Linked DNA regions of Mus musculus. The protein of the gene in region 4 interacts with the protein of the main gene of each other region in a pairwise test. Links are inferred from orthologs where the notes say so. Each region holds a gene or a part of one and is shown on either strand. Other genes may lie near its edges. The genes, in order: Polr1c, Ddx6, Casp9, Birc7 and Phf1.

Region 1 (4,277 bases), on a different chromosome or scaffold from region 4:
GGCCTTGAACTCAGGACACATCTGCCTGCCTCTGCCAGTGCTTGGAGTAAAGCTGTCCACCACCGTGCCTGGCCATATCAACTCTAATACCAGGCTGACAAGAAGGCTCACAGAGTGAGGGTGCATGCTTGCTCCAACCTGAAGACCCAAGTTCAATCCCCAGGAAGAATGTAAAGGTGGAGAGAGCCTGAGTGCTGCTAGCGCTGTGTTCCGAGGGTGTACACAGTGAGACTAGAGGTGGGGTGGGGACAGCTGTTCTCCCAGGCGAAGGCAGATGTACAAGATGCCAACTAAAGCCCCAGCAGTAGGCCTGGGACCTGAGCCCATGCATTCCAGGTCAGTTCTGCCTAACTCATAATCCCAAGCTCTCAGCCTCACCTTGGTTCCGATATTCAAAGAGACGAGGATCAGCGAGGATGGGGATGAGCCCCAGGCGGTGAGCAAGGATCTCATCCTGGACTATGGACGTGTTGTTATACACCAAGACCTTCTCCACGGCCATTGTCGGCACCTGCCCAAGGAGGCAAAGCAGACAACTGACCTCCACCCATCCCCCTGCCTGGAAAAGGAAGAGGCAGCACTTTTTCATTTTGCCCTTCAGATTCTTTTTTTTTTTTTTGGTTTTTTGAGACAGGGTTTCTCTGTATAGCCCTGGCTGGCCTGGAACTCAGAGATCCACCTGCCTCTGCCTCCCGAGTGCTGGGGTGCTGGGACTAAAGGCGTGTGGCTCAGATTCTTGATACAATGTTTACTATGTAGCCCAGACTGTCATAGGTGTGAACCACCCTACCTGCCCCAGAGGGATGGCTTTGAGAAAAGCGTCTACAAATTGATACAATTTCTACCCTCCAGCCCACGTCCTCTAATACCTCAGCTAACAGGATTCTCCGGAAAGCATTGGCGATGGCAGCATCAATCCCCACCATGTCGAACTCCAGCGTGTCTTCATCCATTTGCACCACGTCCACACGGAAATTCTAGAAGGAGGGAAGCTCCTGCATGACTCCTGCCTGGCTCCTACCCTGCACTATCCCCTCACCCTAAAGTCATGGTGCTCAGTAGACATTTTGTCTCCAGTCCTGTTCTTGGGGGCAAGGCTGTGTGTTTCTTGTTTTTTAGGTTTTTCCAAGGCCAGGTTTCTCCATGTAGTCCTGGCTGTCCTGGAACTCTGTAGACCAGGCTGGCCTCAAACTCAAAAGATCCACCTACCTCTGCCTACCAAGTACTGGGATTAAAGGTGTGCGCCACTATGCCCAATCTTCCCAGATTTTCCACAAACCACCCAGAGAAGTTACTATACAAAAAGCAGAACTTCCCACACTACTTAGACCGTTTGATACTTGCATGTCTGTTGTCGTTATTTTTTAATACCTACTTTTCTCAACTACATTCCCTTGGATTTTGAACACCAATTTCCTTATCTGCTCTTCTTTCTAAATTTCCCCTTCCACCCACACAGTAAACGTTCCTGTCTCCTAGGTTCTAATCCCCTGGCTGACCTCCACCATGCTCCTGGCTCAAGCAAGCACATAGACTTCACAAGCAGGCACCTGAGTGTACCCTCATTCTTGTTCTCCTGCTTGGCAAACGACACAGCCAGCAACAGTTCCCCAGTGCCACTGGAGAAATGGCTCAGCTATTAAGAGCACTTAACTGCCCTTGCAGAAGAACTGGGTTTGGTTCCCAGCACCTGGTGGGACCTAACATTCTCCTCACACTGCAGGGATCACTAACACACAGTGGTGCACAAATACACATGCAGGCAAACACGCATATCAAGAAAGTTTTAGGGTCCTCAAGTTACAAAGTCCTTTCTCTCACACACTGCCTCCCCAGAGCACTGGTGCAAATCGTCTAGTTCTCCCTGCCTTACTCCGTTAGTACTGTCTGGAGTTCATCTATGCCCCCAATTTCAGCCTGCATACACTAGCTGGCAGATTCACCAGAATTCATTCCCTCCTGGCTATCAAGATTGCAAAATGTTATCAGTCTACTCAAAAATTCTAAATTGGGCGTGGTGGCTCATGCCTTTAATCCCAGTGCATGGGAGGCAGAGACAGAAGCAGGTAGATGGCTGAGTTCAAGTCCAGCCTGGACTATAGAGAGAGTGCCAGGGCTAAACAGAAACAGTTTCAAAGTGAATTTTAAAAAAATCATATATAATGAAGCTCCAATCAGGCCTTCACTACTCAACTTTTATTCATAGTTCAAAGCTTAATTCAAATGCCATTCCCTTCACTGACCTTTAACTACGTCCCTTCAGTTAGCTGGATTCAGTGCATCAATGATTCCTGACCATATCCCAGCCATCTTCACCGCTATCTTACTATTCTGGAATAACTTGTCTGTGTGGTCCATTATCCCACCGAGAGCAACCACCGTGTCTGACCCGTCCATGGAGCTCAAGCGTGTTGTATGGAAACAGCGACCCCCACCCCAACCTGCGAGGTCTGGCCCCTCGGGCCGACTGGGCACCTTCAGCTCTACCCACCTTCTCGAAGCGGTTCTGGTCCCAGGCATCATCATAACCGGCGTAGTTACCGGGAAAGTCCGTGGTGTGGACCTAGAGCCAACAGAAAGGGCAGTGTGGCCAGCCTTCACACCAGGCCTCTACTTCCCCGTGCCGCCCTCATCCTTCCCGCGCCCCGATCTCTTACATTGCGAACCCCAAACTCTCCGAGAACCACGCGAGTCCGCATCTCCTCCACCGCCTGAGCCGCCGCCATCTTCCGCCACTCGCTGTAAAAGGAGGCGAGTCCGCGCCTGCGTCTCCGCAGCAACGCTCGGGCTCCCGCAATCTTGAATGTCGCGAGATCTTGCCCCGCCTCTGTCCACGTCCTTCACTTCCGGACGTCAAGTGGGGCCAAACATCCGGGTTTCTCCCTTCGGCGTCCCGGCGGATCCCCACCTTGCCCGGGCGGTCGCCCCTCTGAACCTCTCCCTCCCTCGGACCCGGGTCGCACGCTCTTCCCACGCGCGCGTGCTCCAGCGACGGGAAGCCTCGAGGGACATGGCGACTCCGGCGGCGCCGGCCAGCGGCGTCCGAAATGGTGCTGGCCCGGAATGGGGAGGCTTCGAAGAAAACATCCAGGTATGGAGCGCGCCTGCTGCCAGCAGCCCCGGGCTGGCGGCGTCCGGACGGTGGCTGCTGTTCTCTCTCGCGGGGCCTAGAGGTCGGCTCCGCTGAAACGCAGCCTGTCCCCTTTGAGTCTTCCCGGGGAAGGGTGTAGCTCTTGTGCTGGCGTGAAAGGGACAAACTAGGGCTCCCGCGGGCCTCGGCTCTCTGTGGGGGCTGGAGGCTAGGATCCACTGGCACCCCCTAAAAATAGGCTTGTTTGAGAATTGGGAATGGCAGATGGGCTCTTTTGCAACTCTTTGGAGCTTTGAGGTGGAAAGTAGGAAAACAACGTGGATTGAAAATAAATAGTAGGGTTTCCAGGACCACAAAAGTGACGCGACCAAGAGTTGCCACCACTGAAAGAGTGGCAGTTCCAAGCCATGTCCTCGGCAGTGGAAGATCAAAGCCTCAAGTTGTCAGCTGAGCGGAGAACGGGGAGGATGCAATGGAAGGGCCCCTCACTCTCCGAGCCGTTGTCTTCACAGGGTGGGGGTTCGGCTGTGATTGATATGGAGAACATGGACGATACCTCAGGCTCCAGCTTCGAGGACATGGGTGAGCTGCACCAGCGCCTGCGGGAGGAAGAAGTAGATGCTGATGCAGCTGCTGCAGAAGAAGAGGATGGGGAGTTTCTTGGCATGAAAGGCTTTAAAGGACAACTGAGCCGGCAGGTAGCAGATCAGGTAAGCCAATGGGGAAAAAAAAAAGGACCTATGCATGTCCTAAATTGATCGAGGTTTTCCACTTAGACCCACACGTAAATCTCGCCGAGACTGAATAACAATCTAGAGCCAAGAGTCTCATCATACCCATTTCCCTTCAGATGTGGCAGGCAGGGAAGAGACAGGCTTCCAGGGCCTTCAGCTTGTATGCCAACATTGACATCCTCAGACCCTACTTTGATGTGGAGCCTGCCCAGGTCCGAAGCAGGTGAGGCGCCTTCTCTGAGACATCTGTCCTCACATCTAGACCCTCATCCAGACTTCACTCAGACTCAGAGCCCTGAGCTCTGGTGGACTCCCCTACTTGCAACCCCATTACTGAACTGAACATGTTGTGAATACTTGGTGAAAGGTACAGTTGGCTAGGTACCCCTCAAGTGCGCTAACCCCTCTTCCCTCCTACCCCGCTTCCCTCCACACCACCATCCTTTAAATGG
Region 2 (3,511 bases), on a different chromosome or scaffold from region 4:
AGGAAAGGAAAGGAAAGGAAAGGAAAGGAAAGGAAAGGAAAGGAAAGGAAAGGAAAGGGAAAATGATCTAATTGTCCAACTTGCTAGGAATTAGTGAAGGACAGGACTCAGCACAAAAGCCCACTACTTACCCTGGAGAAAAGTGTATTGAGGCAGTGCACTTTTTGGCGCTCCGTTACATATGCGTAGTACTGAGTTACTCCTTTCAGAGTTAGTTCCTCCATCAGGTTTATCTCGTAGGGTTTTTGCAGATGGGAATTCTGGAGTGGGAGGGAACACAGTCATTAAGTAAAGACTTTCAGGCATGCTAAGGCAAGAGCTCCCATTTCTTGCCCCAAGTTTATACCTTTTTTTTTTGGTTTTTTATTTTGTCTCTTGCTCTAAAGGATGAATCTCTTTTCAAAACCAAGTATTCATAAAATAAGTTATACTAAAATGGTAGACCTCAGATTCAAATGCACCTCACAGAGATGAGCTATAACCAACTTACGATGGGATATGTCACCTTGGCACAGAGTTAAAAAAAAAAAATCACAACTCCTCTCATTTTGAAGCAGGGTCTCATGGCCAGCCAGCACTACACATAGAAACTGTCTCCAAGGGAGGCAGAAGCAGGCAGATTTCTGAGTTCCAGGCCAGTCTGGTCTACAGAGTGAGTTTCAGGACAGCCAAAGCTATAGAGAGAATCCCTGTCTCGGAAAAAAAACAAAAACAAAAACAAACAAACAAAAAAACCCCCAAAACTGTCTCCAAAAATCAAAACCAAGAAAAAAAAGAGAAAAACAGACCAACTGACAGACGGATGGACAGATGGCATGGAACTCATGTAAACCAGGCTAGCCTCAGAACAAGTAGAGGTCATTTAAGTTAAAAAAAAAAAAAGTGCACATACATATTTTTAATCCCAGTACTTGGGAGACAGAGACCTCTGTGAATTTGAAGCTAGCATACTGGCCAGGGCTACACAGTGAGACCCTGTCTCAAAAAACTAAATCCATGCCCAAATCTTATTGACCATATTAAAAAAAACAAATCCGAAACCTTGCAATAACATATATTCTGATAATACAATGTAATTACAGGTAAAAGCACACTCAGTACCATGACAGCACTGATGCCAGGTACAGAGCTAATACTCACCATAAACTTTTGTACACTAAGAGGGAAAGTAGCGGAGTATAGTAAAATCTGCCTATTTTTAGGTAGTGTGAGAATAATATCCTCCATTATCTGCACAAAATCCTGTGACAACAATTTATCTGCCTGTAATACAAAAAAAAAGTTACTTTTAAAAAAGAATAAGGCATTAAAAGTTTTGGAGAGCAATATAAGCAAAGGGCAATGCACAACCTACACACAGGCTTCTCCTGGCTATAACCCTAAGACTCTAATGTAGACAATGTTACCAGGACAACCCCTAGCAGTGCATAAGGGGGAGGAGCCTAGCGTGGTAGCATATGCCTGTAAGCTCAGCACCTGAGTGGCTGACCTGGGAGAGAAGTGAGAAGCTGAGGTCAGCCTGGGCTACATTATGAATCTGTCTTAAAGCAGAGGCTATAATCCCTAAGGAAAAAAATATGTAGACTGTCAAAATCCTTTTCTTTGACAGAATTTAAATGTGATCCCCATTAAAGAGATAATAGAGTATATTGGTCAAAAATGTGTTTTGAGCTAGATGTGGTTGGCATAAACCTTACTCTCAGAAGGTAGAAGAAACAGGACGATAAATCCAAGGCCATTTGGGCTGAAATGTTTTACTCGTTAGCTGTACTGGGTACCACTTAGCCATGTTTCAATGTCCTCAACTATGGACACAGGTTATCCACACTCCCATAACAACCTATATCTTATCAGACTAAATATCACATTATGTACTCAATATATAATAGTCAGTGTTATTCCTCATTAGTGAAAAGCCAGAAACTAGTAATCTAAAACAAAACAGAAAAGGAAAATAGCTGTATACCAAAACACTAATAGTGACACACTAAATGCATATAGCACTGCTACACCCGAGAGACACAGAGGAGTAGTTTTTTATTTTTAAGACAGAGTCTCACTTTGTAGTCCTGACTGGCCTGAAACTTACTATGCAGTCCTCAAATTCAAGACAGACATCTGACTCTACCTCCCAGGTAAAACATTTGGCTTCAGTCGAGTAATTTCTTAAAAGGAATTCATATTAGGTTATAACCTAAGGAAGTAACAAATTTCAGACACACATGAACCAAACAATATAAAGAAGCAGATGTAAAACAAAGGGTAGGGTTAAGAACTATCTTAGCTTAGCTTACATGCTTTTAAAATGTTAACACTGAATAGAAAGACATAAAACGAACTTGGCTTGGTTATTTCTAATCACACGTATCCAGGACAGGGTGTGAGCTGAGCTCAGAGGAGGACAGTCAGGAACATTACCTCATCTAGCACTATCATCTGGACATGGTCAACCTTTGCCACGCCTTTCTTGATGAGATCCAGGATCCTGCCAGGGGTAGCGATCACCACATGCACTACAAAGATTTACAGGGAAAAATAAAAAAGATTCAGAAAATATATACTCTCTTGTTAATTTTACCTAGGACGGAAAAAAAAAAAAACTTGTAACTTTATAGTATATATTTAGCATCATAGATAATATTTATAGAGGTACAAATTAATACCAAAAGGTACAAAGATGTATTTTGGGCTGTATATTTTCATCTCTTCTTACAGCAGGTAGACAATACTTGTTTCAACTCTTCAATAAATGGGCTAATTTCCCAAATTACTAATTCCAACTAAAGGCATACAACTTTTATCTTATGACAATCTGCAAGAAATAACAGCCAGAATACAGGGTTTCGCATACAAAAGACATGTCTTCAATCTGGGCAATGCTGCTCAGACTGTTTTAAGGGGAAAAAAAGACTGATCACTAAACCAAAAATTGTGCAAGTTAAAAAATATAGCTAAATAACCAAATACTAATATATATTAACATTCTGAGTAAAACCTGACTCTTGCTATTTTGTTACTGTTCTTCACCCAGCATTATACAGTGAACAGCCCTTCATAAAAACTCAATACGTAAATCTTTACTGACTGTGAAACTCCATTCAGGCTCACTGAATCTAACCAATCTCCTGAAATATTTAAATTTGCCTTCTTTTTCAGAGTAAACAACTTTGCATATATACAATTTTATATTTATCAAAGTACTTGAAAATCTAAGTTTATAACCTGAAATATACTGTCATATATATTGTACACTTATGTTATAAAACAGCCTACTTTCCACAAATATCCATCACTCATAACTAATACTTTTTTGCCTTGAAATTTAGAACAGTTAATATAAATATGGTACTCTGAACTACATTAAACAATACTAAAAAATAATCCCAGAATTCCAGAGGCAGAGGCAGAGAGGTCTCTGTGAGTTGGAGGTTTGAGGACAGCCTGGTCTACATAGAGAGACCTTGTCAAGGAAAACAAAAACCAAAACTACTAATAAGGCTGAATAACCTTT
Region 3 (3,511 bases), on a different chromosome or scaffold from region 4:
CACTGTTGGGAAGTGACACAAGAAAGCAGGAGAACGAGTCAGAGAAGGACATTAGCCACATGTGTATCCATGTGTCATCCTCTGTCTGCAAACTGCATGTGAAGCCGAGCCACAGATAAGGATAAACCTGTCTACATGCAAGTCTGGTCCCCTGTAACAACATACAGCAGGAGGCAGAACGTCCCCTCAGCAATGCCAGCCCTTAGCGGCTGTGGCTGACTGTGGCTGCTCTCTGCCTTCTCCGACTAAACTCTAAAATTCTGAAGAGGACTCTCCCCAGGATTGACAGCAGGACCTGTCTGAGCCATGCTGGGCTCTGGCCAAGAGTGTCACACTGTGTAACACACACACAACACCACACCCATTGCTGGCTCTGGGGGGACCGTTTTCTAACCTGGTTCTAGGCCACCACTTAACAAAGGGTAGGTAATGTGTTGCCCTTCAAACGAAAATGGTGACATTGAAAACAGCAACAATAGAGCCACCAAAATCCTGGGCTGGCATCTGCCTGTGACATCTGCATGTGTGTGTACAGGATACCAGCCAGGCCTGAGAGCAGATGTCACTGCTTAGGTTCGTAGGTGACATGGCACCACCATGTGGCAACACCATTAAACAGCAGGCCGTACTTCCTGGTTAAGACAAAGCTAGACAAATTCCACAAGAGGGAACAATTTTGGAGGGTAGACAGGATCTCATGTAGCCCAGGTTAGCCTGAAACTATTGTTTGGTCTCTCTCGATAGCTCTGGCTGTCCTGGGACTCACTATGAAGACTACGGAGCCTGGAACTCACAGAGACCCTTCTGCTTCTGCTTCCCAAATGCTGGGATTAGCCTTGTCAAGGAAGGGAGCACTGGGCAAGACTTCCTGGAGGCAATGGCAATAAATTGTAAGCAGGGGGACAGGAAGAATTGGGAGCTACAGAGGTGGCTCAGCAGGTGAACACACTGGGCGCTTTGAGAAGGCTGTGCTGAGGAAAGCGAGGGCAGGCACAGCGGCAGGGTCCAGGTCATCAAAGGCTTTGATGACCTTGCCAAGAAGTCTAAAGAGTAGCCCTGTTCATGTGTGTGGGACCAAAATCCTACTGGCTTATGAAAACAGGGTGGGGTTTGGGGGTGGGGAGACTGGGTGAGGTGACAAGCATGCAGCCCCGTCCTGGGAGCTGGCACCTACTCAGCTCTGTTTCTTGTTCCCTCTTCGACTTTCAGGGTTTGGGGTTGGAGCATCATCTCAGAGCAGAAATTGGGTGAACAAGAGGACATCTCCATGGCTGTAGGGGTACAGCCGCTTTCTCCCTAAGGTCAGTATGAGAGATAACAGCACTGAACAAGGGGGACATGCGGGGCACCCCTGATCCCTGGGAGTACTGGAGAGGGAGTATGTGGGATATCAGGGTTGTTTTGTCTTCTGGTTTTGGCTTGATTTGTGTTGGTTTGGGGTTTTCAAGGCAGTTTCTCTGTGTAGCCTTGGCTGTCCTAGAACTTCTGTAGACCAGGCTGGCCTCAAACTCAGAGACCTGCCTGCCCCTGCCTCCAAAGTGCTAAGATCAAAGGCATGCACCTTATTTATTTATTTTGAGATGGGCATTTAATTATTTATTCATTTATTTTTGAGATAGGCTGTGGTGAATATACCTGGCCTGTGGGAAGTGGCACTATTAGGAGATGTTAGAGCAGGTGTGGCTTTGCTGGATGAAGTGCATAATTGTGGGGGTGGGCTTTGAAGCTCTGCCGGGTATGTAAGAGACCCTCCTCCTAGCTGCCTGAGAGTCTCTTCTGGCTGCAGTTGGATCAAAATGCAGAGCCCTCAGCTCCATATCTGTCTCCAGCACCATATCTGCCTGGACGATGCCATGCTTCCTGCTATGATGTTAATGGACTGAACCTGAGGACCTGTAAGCCTGCCCCAGTTAACTGTTGTCCCTTATGAAAGCTGCCTTTGCCATGAGTCTCTTCTCAGCAGTGAAACCCTAACTAAGCCATAGGGTCTTACTGTACAGCTCTAGTTGGCCTGAAATTCACTATGAAGAGTAGGCTGGCACTGAACTCACAGAGGTCCACCAGTCTCTACCTTCTGTGTGCTGGGATTAAATGTGTGGGCTGGAGAAATGGCTCAGTGTGTAAGAACACTGTTCTTCCAGAGGTCCTGAGTTCAATTCCCAGCCAGCAACCACATGTTGCTTCACAACCATCTAAACTGGGATCAGAAGCCTCTTCTGGTATGCAAGTGTACATGCAGATAGAGCACTCACATATGCAAAGGAAATAAGTCTTTGTAGGGCAATACTTGGAATGTAAATTAATAATAATAATAATACTAATAATAATGATAATAATAATATGTCCATCACCACATCTTGACCACACCCTTGCAAGTCAGAGGTATGAAATAAAGGTGTTACCCAGGCATGGCTATTTACAGTGATCTTGTAAGTACAGAAGTTCAAATTCAAAGGTGATGTCTCTTAGAAGTCATTGAGAAGGAGGGGAGAAGGAGGGAGGAGGTGGTAGCAGGAGGTGGTGGCAAGAAGAGCAGCTAACACTTGAAGCTGTCCACCACATTGAAATCCGACAAGAATTCGAGAAGCCCTCACTGGAGCCAGCACCATGATTTTGTATTTTCAGTTTCTAGATGGTGAGGTGGTAAACCTCCTTCCCTTATGTATTCCCGAGCCCGTGGTATTCAGTTCTAGTGACAGAAAACACATTACACCACCAAGCATAGAGCAAAACCTCAATGTCCCTCAGATCCTTGGGCTCCTGGGAGTTCCAAGAGTTAAATTCTTTAGTTTCTCCTCGACACTCAGTGCACTTTCCCTGGGACAGTAGAAATGGGGTCTTAACTAAATGTCAGAGGTCAGGGGAAGGTGCCAAGGCAAACTGAAGAGTCGTTTTACGCTCTCCTTTGCTCTGAGTGTGTGTGTGTGTGTGTGTGTGTGTGTGTGTGTGTGTGTGTGTGTGTTAATGTTAGCATGTGTGCGAGTGCACATGTGTGCACATGCATTTTGGGGACCATTACCTCTACCTGCCTAGCCGTGGGATTACAGGTGGGCACCATGGTGCCTGGCTCAGACTCAAGAGCTCCACGCTTTCATGGCGAGCACCTTACAGATGGAGTGGTCTCCCCTGCCCTGCAGTTTTTTACTGAAATTCTAGGACTGAAGTGATCAGGATTATACTAACCACTGATGTCACAGTACCCAACTGTCTGATGGTGCTGGGCCTGTGGTGGCAAGGAGTGAGTCCTGCTGTATGGATACCAGAGATGTGTAGAGAAGCCCACTGACCCAGTGAGGGGCTAACGTGGGGTTATCCTGGTTTCCTGCAAGCCCTACTCCCAGCGGGCTCCAGGCCACTCACCACCACCGCAGGCCTGGATGAAGAAGAGCTTGGGCTTCCCTCCCAGGCTGGGGCAGCCGCTCCCGTTGAAGATATTCACAATTTTCTCAATGGACACGGAGCATCCATCTGTCCCATAGACAGCACCCGGGAACTGGAGGTGGCTGGCCTA
Region 4 (4,240 bases):
AAAAACCATAAGGAGAAGAAGGAGGAGGAGGAGAAAGGAGAAAGGAGAAAGGAGAAAGGAGAAAGGAGAAAGGAGAAAGGAGAAGGAGAAGAGAAGAGAGAAGGAGAAGCAGCAGCTGCTGTTGTGGCTCGTACCCAGCAGAACCATAGCCTAGCACACACACAACTACATGCCCAGGTTTGGCTGGTGTCTTTAGCAGCCTTCTCATTAGGAGCAAGGGGATTCACTACCTTGAACACAACATGTGGGCACAGACCCCACCCTCTCTGCTGACTGGCAGGTGGAGACACTCAACAGTCTGACCTACGTGCAGGCTGCAAACACCAACTAAACAGCAAAGGCTATTAGGCTCTCTCACCTGAGGGAGTGGCAGAGACTGCATCTTCTGGTTCTTCTCGCTGATCCTGTTAGAGAGCCATTGGTGCCTTAAGTAAGCAAAGCAGAGACTGCCAGCCCACCTGGGTCCTGAGGACAGATGGACTTACCCAGGATCCCAGCAAAGGGGTGTAGGTCTGGATTCTTTCCACAAAGTCCCTTCCTTTTGACCGTAGCAGGAACTGACACCTGGAGAAGAGAGCTCAGAAGACAGGACTGGACTCTTAGAGCCCCACTGTCACATTCGAGCCCTGCAAGCCTTTGGGATTTGGCATGCCTTCTGTGCCCATGGAACCCATTACTTCCTGTGACAGGTAGTCAGGGCTGTATCCCCATGGGCACCTGCTAGTAAGGCTAGTCTGGAGTTGGGCTCCGAATACCTAGGTGTGCACCTGGAAAGGATAGCAGCAACAGGGGAGTGCCTACCCTAGCAGCCCTAGAGAGATCCTGATGTCTCAGAAACATGGGAGGTGGGAAGGCTATACAGAGTTCTTTGGGACCCTTCTCATTAGTCAGAACTGCAGTAGCCCACAGGGCCCTTACCTGGGAAACCATCGGGCATGCTCTGTCCAGGGGTCATCCCCACGCTCCCAGCTCTGTAGACCCCCATAGCAGAAGAAACATCTCACCTTGTCCTGCTGGCCTAGGTATGGCAGAGACACATAGCTGGTAGCCCCACCTAGTTGGCAACCCCAGGGTGTCCCTCCATGACCATCAAAGCTTAGACAGGCAGGACTAGAATCTGCCAGCAGGTTAACAAGAAGGGAGCAAGGCACATGGACACCTCTCTTGCCTCAAAGGCAAATAAAGACAATGGCCCTGGGGCATGTGTCAGGAGGGCTTCAGAATATTCCAGAAAGGTCGAGCTAGCATTTGTGTTGTTCTCAGAGCATGTGGGTAGGGTTGAGCCAAAGGCTTGGAGCATCTGTAGCCTGGGAGTGTCAGGGCCTCCAAGAAGGACTTCTAGTTACAGGATAAGGAGGTGACCCCTTCCATACCAGTTTATAGACAGACTTGGTTTTAGTGGCTCAGGCCTCAATCATCTCTGCTCTGTGCCCTTCCCCCCCCAGCCATAGGAATATGTGTCCTTCATGACCTTGAGCAGAAGTTCCAAACAGGATTGCTTACAGGCATATCCCACAGCAGGTACCCACGGTCCACAAAATACCCATGACATCTGTTGGCCTCAAAGAGACTCCTTTTCAAGGGGGCTCTAACTGTTCCAGACATTGACCCTTCATAACCAGTGTCAGATTGTCCTAAATCAGTATGGACTCTTGCCTGGCCGTTGCTAGGAGAATGACTGTTTCCTCCCCTGCTAGGCCCACTGGTGACAATTTCTCTGGCTATGCTCGGCTGGGCTCACTGATTCCTTTTCCCTCAGCCAGGAAGAGTCAGAGCCAGAACCTGAGCCCTACTGGGAATGAGAGCAGACCAAGCTCAAGGAGTAGTCTACATTTGTAACTAGAACAGGTATTCAAAGGATTTGTCTGGAGTTGGTCCCTGCACTAACCAGGTACTTAGGAAGCCTGAGAGATTACCTACAAGATGGGCACTGGATGCTTAAGCTGGCCCCTGCCCCAGTAGAATAGATTCCGGTTTTGTCGCTTTGGGCTAAGGGATGAAAGGGATTAATCAGCTCTATCTACCAAACCTGAAAGGCATTGATGACTGGGCATCCCTGAAGAAATCCTCAGAGCCGTGTAAGCCAGGTGAAACCACCAAGCCAGCAGACCCCTCAAGGGCCCTCAGAACAAGGCCAGCATAAGCCCAGAATTTCATAGTGGCTTTGAGTGGGTCTAGCCCTGACCAGGCAAGGATGACAGGAGTACCTTTTATTAGTTCCTCCCTCAGGGCAAGAATGGGCAAAACCGTTTGCCTGGAAGAGTGCTAAGTAGCATTCAGACCACAGTAAAAAAGACCCCAACATTTACCTGTGTGGAAGAACCCAGCAGCAGCCAATGGCTCAGGCTGAATCCCTGCAGTAGATGGCCAGTCGTAGAAGGAGGCTAGCCGGAGATCCTCTGAGTCCATCTCAGGGAAGGCAGGCTCCCCAAGGAAGGCAGCCCCAGAGGATTCTTCCTCTTCTGACAGAGGCCGAAGCTGGCCTAAGATCTGCCCATCTAGGCAGTCCTGGCCCAGGACATGGTTACACGGACAGTGGGGTTTATCCTGTTCCTGTGTGCGGCCACTGCCATCTTCCCTGTGGCTTAGTTCTGGGCCACGGACCGAGTCCCTGGCCCTACTCTCAGGCCCCATGGAAAAGACAGCAGCTCTGAATAAGTCTGCAGGTGAGAACATCACCAGCCCAGGAATGTGCCTGGTGTTGTACCGTTCCAGCTCCTGCCTCTAGTCCTTCCCAGAGGCTGTGGTGTTCCTGCTTCTAACTGCAAGCTGCTAGATGCTCAGAGGCAGTGGCGGTGTCCAGGAATGAGCCACTTTCTGAGAGAGGCCAGGGCAGCCACATGCTCTTTGCAGCGTGTCATGGGGCCTGCTGGCAGGCACATAACAAAGGCAGTACGCCACCAGGCAAAAAGCATCTCTCAATAGGGGGAGGGACCAAGCTTGGGACCCCTCCAATGGCATCCCCTAAGCCTCAGGAAACAGGTCATGAACATGGACAAAATAGAGGAGAGAGATTCCAGACACTTAGGGTCTAGTTCTGGGTGGAGATAGACCCAGACAGGGGCCTGCAGGGTAGGAAGCTAGGCTGTCCAGGACACTATGCAACCCCACCAATCCTTCCTTACCAAGCCTGTGCTGACTGATGTTCAGGGATGACCTCATCACCCGCTCATCTTGTCCCCAGCACTGAGGAGAGGTCCCTGCTTGGCTCAGCCCTGAGTCAGGGTCAGTCCACCCATCTGGTCTCAGGTTGCTCTTTATCTGTCTGGACAGTCTAGAGGCAAATCAAGGGTAGGGTGTGCCCTGGCCTTTGTCTGGAGGAGCTCAAGGTTTGGATGGTATTTGTTCCAGGCCAGACATTTCCATTTGCACTGTCACATGGAATGTTGCCTCCCTAAATGAGCTCTGCCCCAGAACCTGGTCTTCACTAACCAGCCCCAGGTGAGGGATTCGACTGACACACACACAAAAAAACAGGGAACAGAGAGGAGGATCATCACCCCAGAGAAGCCACAGCTATAGGTTGGTAAAACAAGAGTCCTTGGGACCCCTGGAAGAGGCAGAGAAGATCAAGGGGCCAGCTCTGCTGCAGCTCGCACTGTAATTCCCAGGCTTCTGCTCAAACCTTTACCCTTGAGTCGCTCTTCACTGATTGTGAAGCTTTTAATATTGGGAGCTTATATATATATATATATATAATATTTTTATTAATTCTTTGAAAATTTCAGACCTCTGAGTTTGAGTCCAGCCTCCCCAGAACTAGTTCCAGAACACCCAGGACATCCTGTCTCAAAAAAAAAAAAAAAAAAAAAAAAGCAATCCACTCCAACTTCATGTCCTTTTATTTATTTTTTTTTTAATGTATAACCCACTGAGTCTGGTTTGTGGTGTCCATATACTTATGGGTGTGGGGATGTCCACAGGAGCATGGGCAACCTACCAAGGGCCACAACCTTAAAGAAAACTGACCCTCCCTTTTCCAGAAGCTGCCAACTGTCAATAGTCCCTCAGTTAGAGGTTGAGTCTTGGGAGGCATGGTGAGGGGTTGGAGCTTGTGAGACATTGTAAGATAGGCATGGCTGTTCATGCATGCAGTCCTAGCACTCATGGGGATAAAGCAGGAAGATTTTTGTGAGTTCAAGACCAACCTGAGCTAGATAGTAAGTTCTGTGCTAGCCTGTGCTAGAGAGAGCCCCTGTCTCAAAAATAAGAAATAATAGTTTGTAAGGAACAGAGAGAG
Region 5 (4,276 bases), on a different chromosome or scaffold from region 4:
GATGGGCCACATCCACCCTGGAGGAGCATGGAATTGTCAGCAGCATCGGCGCTATCAAAATCAGGGGTCATTAGGGTAACATGGTGGACAACAGAAATGAATCACAACCCATCTCACCAGCGAAGCTGTAACCTCCGGACCTTCTCAGGGCCGCCCCGGCACACACAGCACTCAAATTCATAGAATCTGCACATGGGCCAGGACAGAGGATGCACCTCATTCAGCCCTCTGACCCCGGCTGCAGAGGACTGCGGGAGAGCACAGGTGGACTCCCGAGCATGCGTGCATGTCCTGTCTCACCTGTCTCCGTAGAGGAGGGGCTTGCTCAGACACTGGGTGCAGGCCTCATGGAACCACTGGAGGCAGCTCCGGCACTGCAGCATTTTCAGGTTCCACCTGGAGGGGAGACAGCGCTTGTGGCCCTCAGACAGCCTTCTTGAAACCACAGGGCCCCCTCGCCCCCTGTTCACCCATTTTCCCGGGCTCTGCCACCACAACAACCCCCATCCCATAGCTTGACAACACCCTCTCCACTCACTCTCCAGGGCCTCCACAGTAGCAGTAGCTCTGCTGTCTGTTGCTCAAATGTCCAGCATCCCAGTCCAGCCCTTTTAATCCGTATGGCAGGGAGAGCTTCATGCCCAGCATGGCCCGGGCATAGGGACCTTTCTTCAGTGCGCCTCCCCTCTGCAGAGGGACAGACAGATGGAGACCTCAGAGAGGCAGGAACGGAGGAGAGACCACAGGAGCTTCCCACACAGGGGCAGAGAGGCACCTTTACCTTAGTGGCGATTGCAAAGACACACTGGCGGCATACCCAGGATGCGCCCTCTCCTTCTCCAGGGGCCGGGGCCCTGGGAACGTGACAGTCCTGGTGATAAGCTGAATAAGGACAATGTTGAGGGTAGACCACTGTGTGCATCTAAGTCCTGCTGTGTGTGTTATCCTGACACTGCAGGTGAGTCAACAAGCTTCTCACAGCTGAGGGCCTAGCCCAAGGAAGCACGGTTAAGAAAGGTAATGTAAGCCCCTCAGCTTTGCATGGCCTGGGTCACCTGATCTATGGCTCCCTCGCCCTGTTCTGAGAGATGTGGTGACAGGGTGAAGACTGGCCAGGACAGGAGACATAACTCATGCTATAAGGCAGGGCTAGTGGCAACCCAGAAGACCCAGGGCAGACTGCACCACCTAAGTATCCTGGCCTCTCACCATGGCGACACTTCTCACAGCTGACCAGCCGGTTCCCAGGTACCACGGTCTCAGAGCGACACACACAACAGAGCAGCTCCTCCCCAGGGAGGGCAGCTGTGAGGGAACAAAGTGTCAGGAGGCCTACCAACAACCAGTGTCCCCACCCACTCCAGCTTCTGCTGTCACAGGCTTCAGTCTGAAGGTCTCACCTGGGCTGATATCCTTCCATAGAACCAGAAACTGGGAATCGTCCTCAAACTGGACCAGACACACCTCTCGAGCACTGTCCACCTGGAATGGGTGCCCAGTGATGCTAAAATGGGAATGAGAACTGACTGGAGACTGGGAAGGCAGTGAGATCAGAGGTGGGTCTTACCTTTTTGATGGTACCCAAGTACAGCAGCCCATCAGTCCATCTGGCCAGCACATCTTGGCCTTCCCAAAGCCGAGGTCTGGGGCCTGAGGTGGGAGCAGGGGAAGCTGGATCCCAGAGAGAGGGGGCACCCAAACGGCTCAGCCGGGGGAGCTGCGCCATTGCATCCTGGGGGGGCCTATTCCAAGATAGGATGGTTAGAGTTATGGGTGCTGAGAAAGTTTCCCTGAGCTCGTTGTTTTCTCTTATGGATAAAGAAACCCTGTTCCTGGTGGAGCAGCTCCAACGCCCCAGTCTTCTAATCCTGAGCCCTATAAAGGTGGGTGGCTCTGGTCAGCTTCTCGACTCTACTCTTTTCCATCTCCCCTGCCTCGTTTTGTAGTTTCCCAGCTCCTAGGGACTCAGGTGAAATGATCTTTGCGGAATCAAGGTTACCGCTTAGCTTCACCTTGCCCAGCTGTTTACAGGGATCCTAAATGGGGCAATCTGTTGCCCAGAGATGTTTTGGGAGCTTTTCTGAAGACGTTTCCCGAGTAGAAACAGCTGCCTCCCCAGGCCTGTGTGTCTTATTTAGAACCACCACCCTGGTGCCAGGTGATGTTAGGTCACCCTCAAATTTGGGGCTCTCTGACCCGGGATTAGATAACTTCCCTGAGTGCCCCAAGAGGGGGGCGTGTCCCTGTCCAAGTCTCTACTCCCCTACACTGTCAGTCCAAGGAGGGACTTGAGTCGCCCCAGCACAGACCCTAAGCTGAGACCAGGAGGCTCTCCAACCCTTCTTCCTCACCGACCCCCAGCTCCCTGCCCCCCTCTCCAGGCCTCCCGCCTCCTCCTTACCGGTGACAGCCGGGGCAGCTGGAAGCCAGGTAGGGTCAGACTCAAGAGACCTGGATGAGTCTCCGGTGCGGGAAGACTGAGTGTGAGCGCCGGGGGGCGTGCAGGCGGAGGCCAGGGGGTCCCCGGGCCCAGCCCCTCCGTCCTGGCGGCTCTGGGGCGTATGACGCAGCAGCCAAAGCAGCAGCAGCGGCAGGAGGAGTCGACAGAAGGAGGGAGGAGAGTGGAGGGTGGGGAGCACCAGGGGGAGGAGACGACAGAGGGACGGGCAGGCAGCACCTCCCTCACCTCCAGCGGGCCCGGAGGGCGCTGCGCTGTTGGGGGCGCGGCCGGTCGCGGAGGTCGAGGAAATCCCTGCAGCCCCTTTTTCGGATGGGAGGCTTGCTCTGGGTCAGCAGGAAATAACCTTCTTGGCAGCTAGCCTGCAGGTCAGGGCCGGGCCCCGCCCCATGCCACATCCGTTAGCTGCCCCGCCCCCGTGGCCACTCCAAGCTCCGCCTCCGCACGCGGCACCGCCCTCCCCATTCACGCTGCCTGTCGCCCCGCCCTTCTGCGCACGCGTAACCCCGCCTGTGCGCCGCACCTGGGCACACGGCCACTCCTCCGGCCGCGAGAGCACTGGTGTAGGTTTGCTCCTCCTGGGAGGGAAAGGACAAGGGGCTATTTGGAACTAGTACTGAGTTAGTGACGTGCCCACACCAGCCAATAGGCACTAGGCGGCACGGAACCATGGTTCGAACCGGTGGGCAGGGAAAGAAAGAGATTGTGGAGTGCACTGGCAGTCACACCAGACAAGAGCATTCCTGTTCTGGGCTGGGGCTGGGGCCTGGCAGTCCTAAGAAATTGTTAAGAGGGCCCAGTGCCGAAGGGTAGAGAAGAGGCATCAGGACGGCAAAGTGTGCCCCACCAAGTGAAAGCCCATAGCCTCACTCTGCAAACACATCACAATGGACATTTCTACGTGCTTACAGTATTTATTTACAATACCTTCCTTTGGCAGCTAAAACCGTTAAGTTAATAAAACCGTTTAGAGCTGTAACAAGGGCCGGGCTGGGAAGATGGCTGGGCGGTTAAGAGCACTGACTGATTTTGCAGAGGACCCACATGTATTCCATAATCCCAGTTCTTGAAGGACCTGAAGCCCTGTTCTGAACTCACTGGAGCAGGAGACATGCACATGGTGCATGCATATACACTCAGGCAAAACAACTGCACACAATTTTTTAAAATCTAAGATTAAGAAAAGGATTAACATACAAAAGATTATTCTTTATTACATAATAAATACCCAGTAATATCATGTCTCAACTCCCACCCACCCCCACCGAATAAATACACACTAAAACAGAGACGCATGCGCACTGGCTTGCAAGGGCTCTGGATCCGACTTCACTTCTTATTAGCCTGAGCAGTACCAATGACACACTGGTTCACCTGTGGACAGATAAACAGGGTCACACAAGGTCAAGGGTTACAGATGAGAAGCCTTCCCACTCTGCCCCGTGCTGGGCCCACATCTGAATCTCTGAAGTCTCTGTTATGGAAGCAGGTCCAGCCTGCCCCCTGGAGGGATGGTGATGCTATGTCCACTAAGCCTGGAAGAGACCGGACTGAAAAGACGAAGCTTTATAGTGCTGGCTAGTTTTTATGTCAACATGACACCGGCTACTCCTCATTTGAGAAGAGGGGACCTCAATTGAGAAAATATCCCATCAGATTGGCCTGTGAGCAAGCCTTTTCTTAATCAATGATTGATGTTGGAGGACCCAACCCTAGTGTGGGCCAGTGCCACCCCTGAAAAGGTGGTTCCCCAATGAGGTAAGAAAACCGGCTGAGGAAGCCAAGAGGAGCGAGCAGTAAACAGCACTCCATTATGGC

Evidence for each region.
Region 1: the proteins of Birc7 (region 4) and Polr1c interact in binary tests that used the Homo sapiens proteins (3 or more experiments, as listed by UniProt). The two-hybrid records come from large-scale screens. The link is inferred for Mus musculus from reciprocal best matches to the Homo sapiens genes BIRC7 and POLR1C.
Region 2: the proteins of Birc7 (region 4) and Ddx6 interact in a two-hybrid assay, tested with the Homo sapiens proteins (3 studies listed by BioGRID and IntAct). The two-hybrid records come from large-scale screens. The link is inferred for Mus musculus from reciprocal best matches to the Homo sapiens genes BIRC7 and DDX6.
Region 3: the proteins of Birc7 (region 4) and Casp9 interact in binary tests that used the Homo sapiens proteins (3 or more experiments, as listed by UniProt). The two-hybrid records come from large-scale screens. The link is inferred for Mus musculus from reciprocal best matches to the Homo sapiens genes BIRC7 and CASP9.
Region 5: the proteins of Birc7 (region 4) and Phf1 interact in binary tests that used the Homo sapiens proteins (3 or more experiments, as listed by UniProt). The two-hybrid records come from large-scale screens. The link is inferred for Mus musculus from reciprocal best matches to the Homo sapiens genes BIRC7 and PHF1.

Annotation. Positions count from the first base shown.
Region 1 is NC_000083.6:46,245,238-46,249,514, forward strand, and holds the start of Polr1c (DNA-directed RNA polymerases I and III subunit RPAC1), read right to left. Parts: upstream 2,809-4,277; 5' UTR 2,727-2,808; coding exon 2,658-2,726; intron 2,564-2,657; coding exon 2,492-2,563; intron 978-2,491; coding exon 870-977; intron 512-869; coding exon 379-511; intron 1-378. Other genes in the region: protein YIPF3, read left to right, coding at 3,011-3,091, 3,604-3,801, 3,942-4,048. UniProt on the Homo sapiens protein: DNA-dependent RNA polymerase catalyzes the transcription of DNA into RNA using the four ribonucleoside triphosphates as substrates.
Region 2 is NC_000075.6:44,625,390-44,628,900, reverse strand, and holds part of Ddx6 (probable ATP-dependent RNA helicase DDX6), read right to left. Parts: intron 2,514-3,511; coding exon 2,419-2,513; intron 1,264-2,418; coding exon 1,141-1,263; intron 261-1,140; coding exon 132-260; intron 1-131.
Region 3 is NC_000070.6:141,807,112-141,810,622, reverse strand, and holds part of Casp9 (caspase-9 isoform 1 precursor), read right to left. Parts: intron 3,509-3,511; coding exon 3,361-3,508; intron 1-3,360. UniProt on the Homo sapiens protein: Involved in the activation cascade of caspases responsible for apoptosis execution. Binding of caspase-9 to Apaf-1 leads to activation of the protease which then cleaves and activates effector caspases caspase-3 (CASP3) or caspase-7 (CASP7).
Region 4 is NC_000068.7:180,927,583-180,931,822, reverse strand, and holds the start of Birc7 (baculoviral IAP repeat-containing protein 7 precursor), read right to left. Parts: upstream 2,801-4,240; 5' UTR 2,677-2,800; coding exon 2,310-2,676; intron 1,019-2,309; coding exon 919-1,018; intron 565-918; coding exon 486-564; intron 405-485; coding exon 359-404; intron 1-358.
Region 5 is NC_000083.6:26,931,660-26,935,935, reverse strand, and holds the start of Phf1 (PHD finger protein 1), read right to left. Parts: upstream 2,810-4,276; 5' UTR 2,402-2,809; intron 1,743-2,401; 5' UTR 1,727-1,742; coding exon 1,568-1,726; intron 1,483-1,567; coding exon 1,401-1,482; intron 1,306-1,400; coding exon 1,210-1,305; intron 883-1,209; coding exon 782-882; intron 688-781; coding exon 539-687; intron 465-538; exon of another isoform or gene 397-464; coding exon 301-396; intron 187-300; coding exon 118-186; intron 18-117; coding exon 1-17. Other genes in the region: Kifc5b (kinesin family member C5B), read right to left, coding at 3,788-3,832. UniProt on the Homo sapiens protein: Polycomb group (PcG) that specifically binds histone H3 trimethylated at 'Lys-36' (H3K36me3) and recruits the PRC2 complex. Involved in DNA damage response and is recruited at double-strand breaks (DSBs).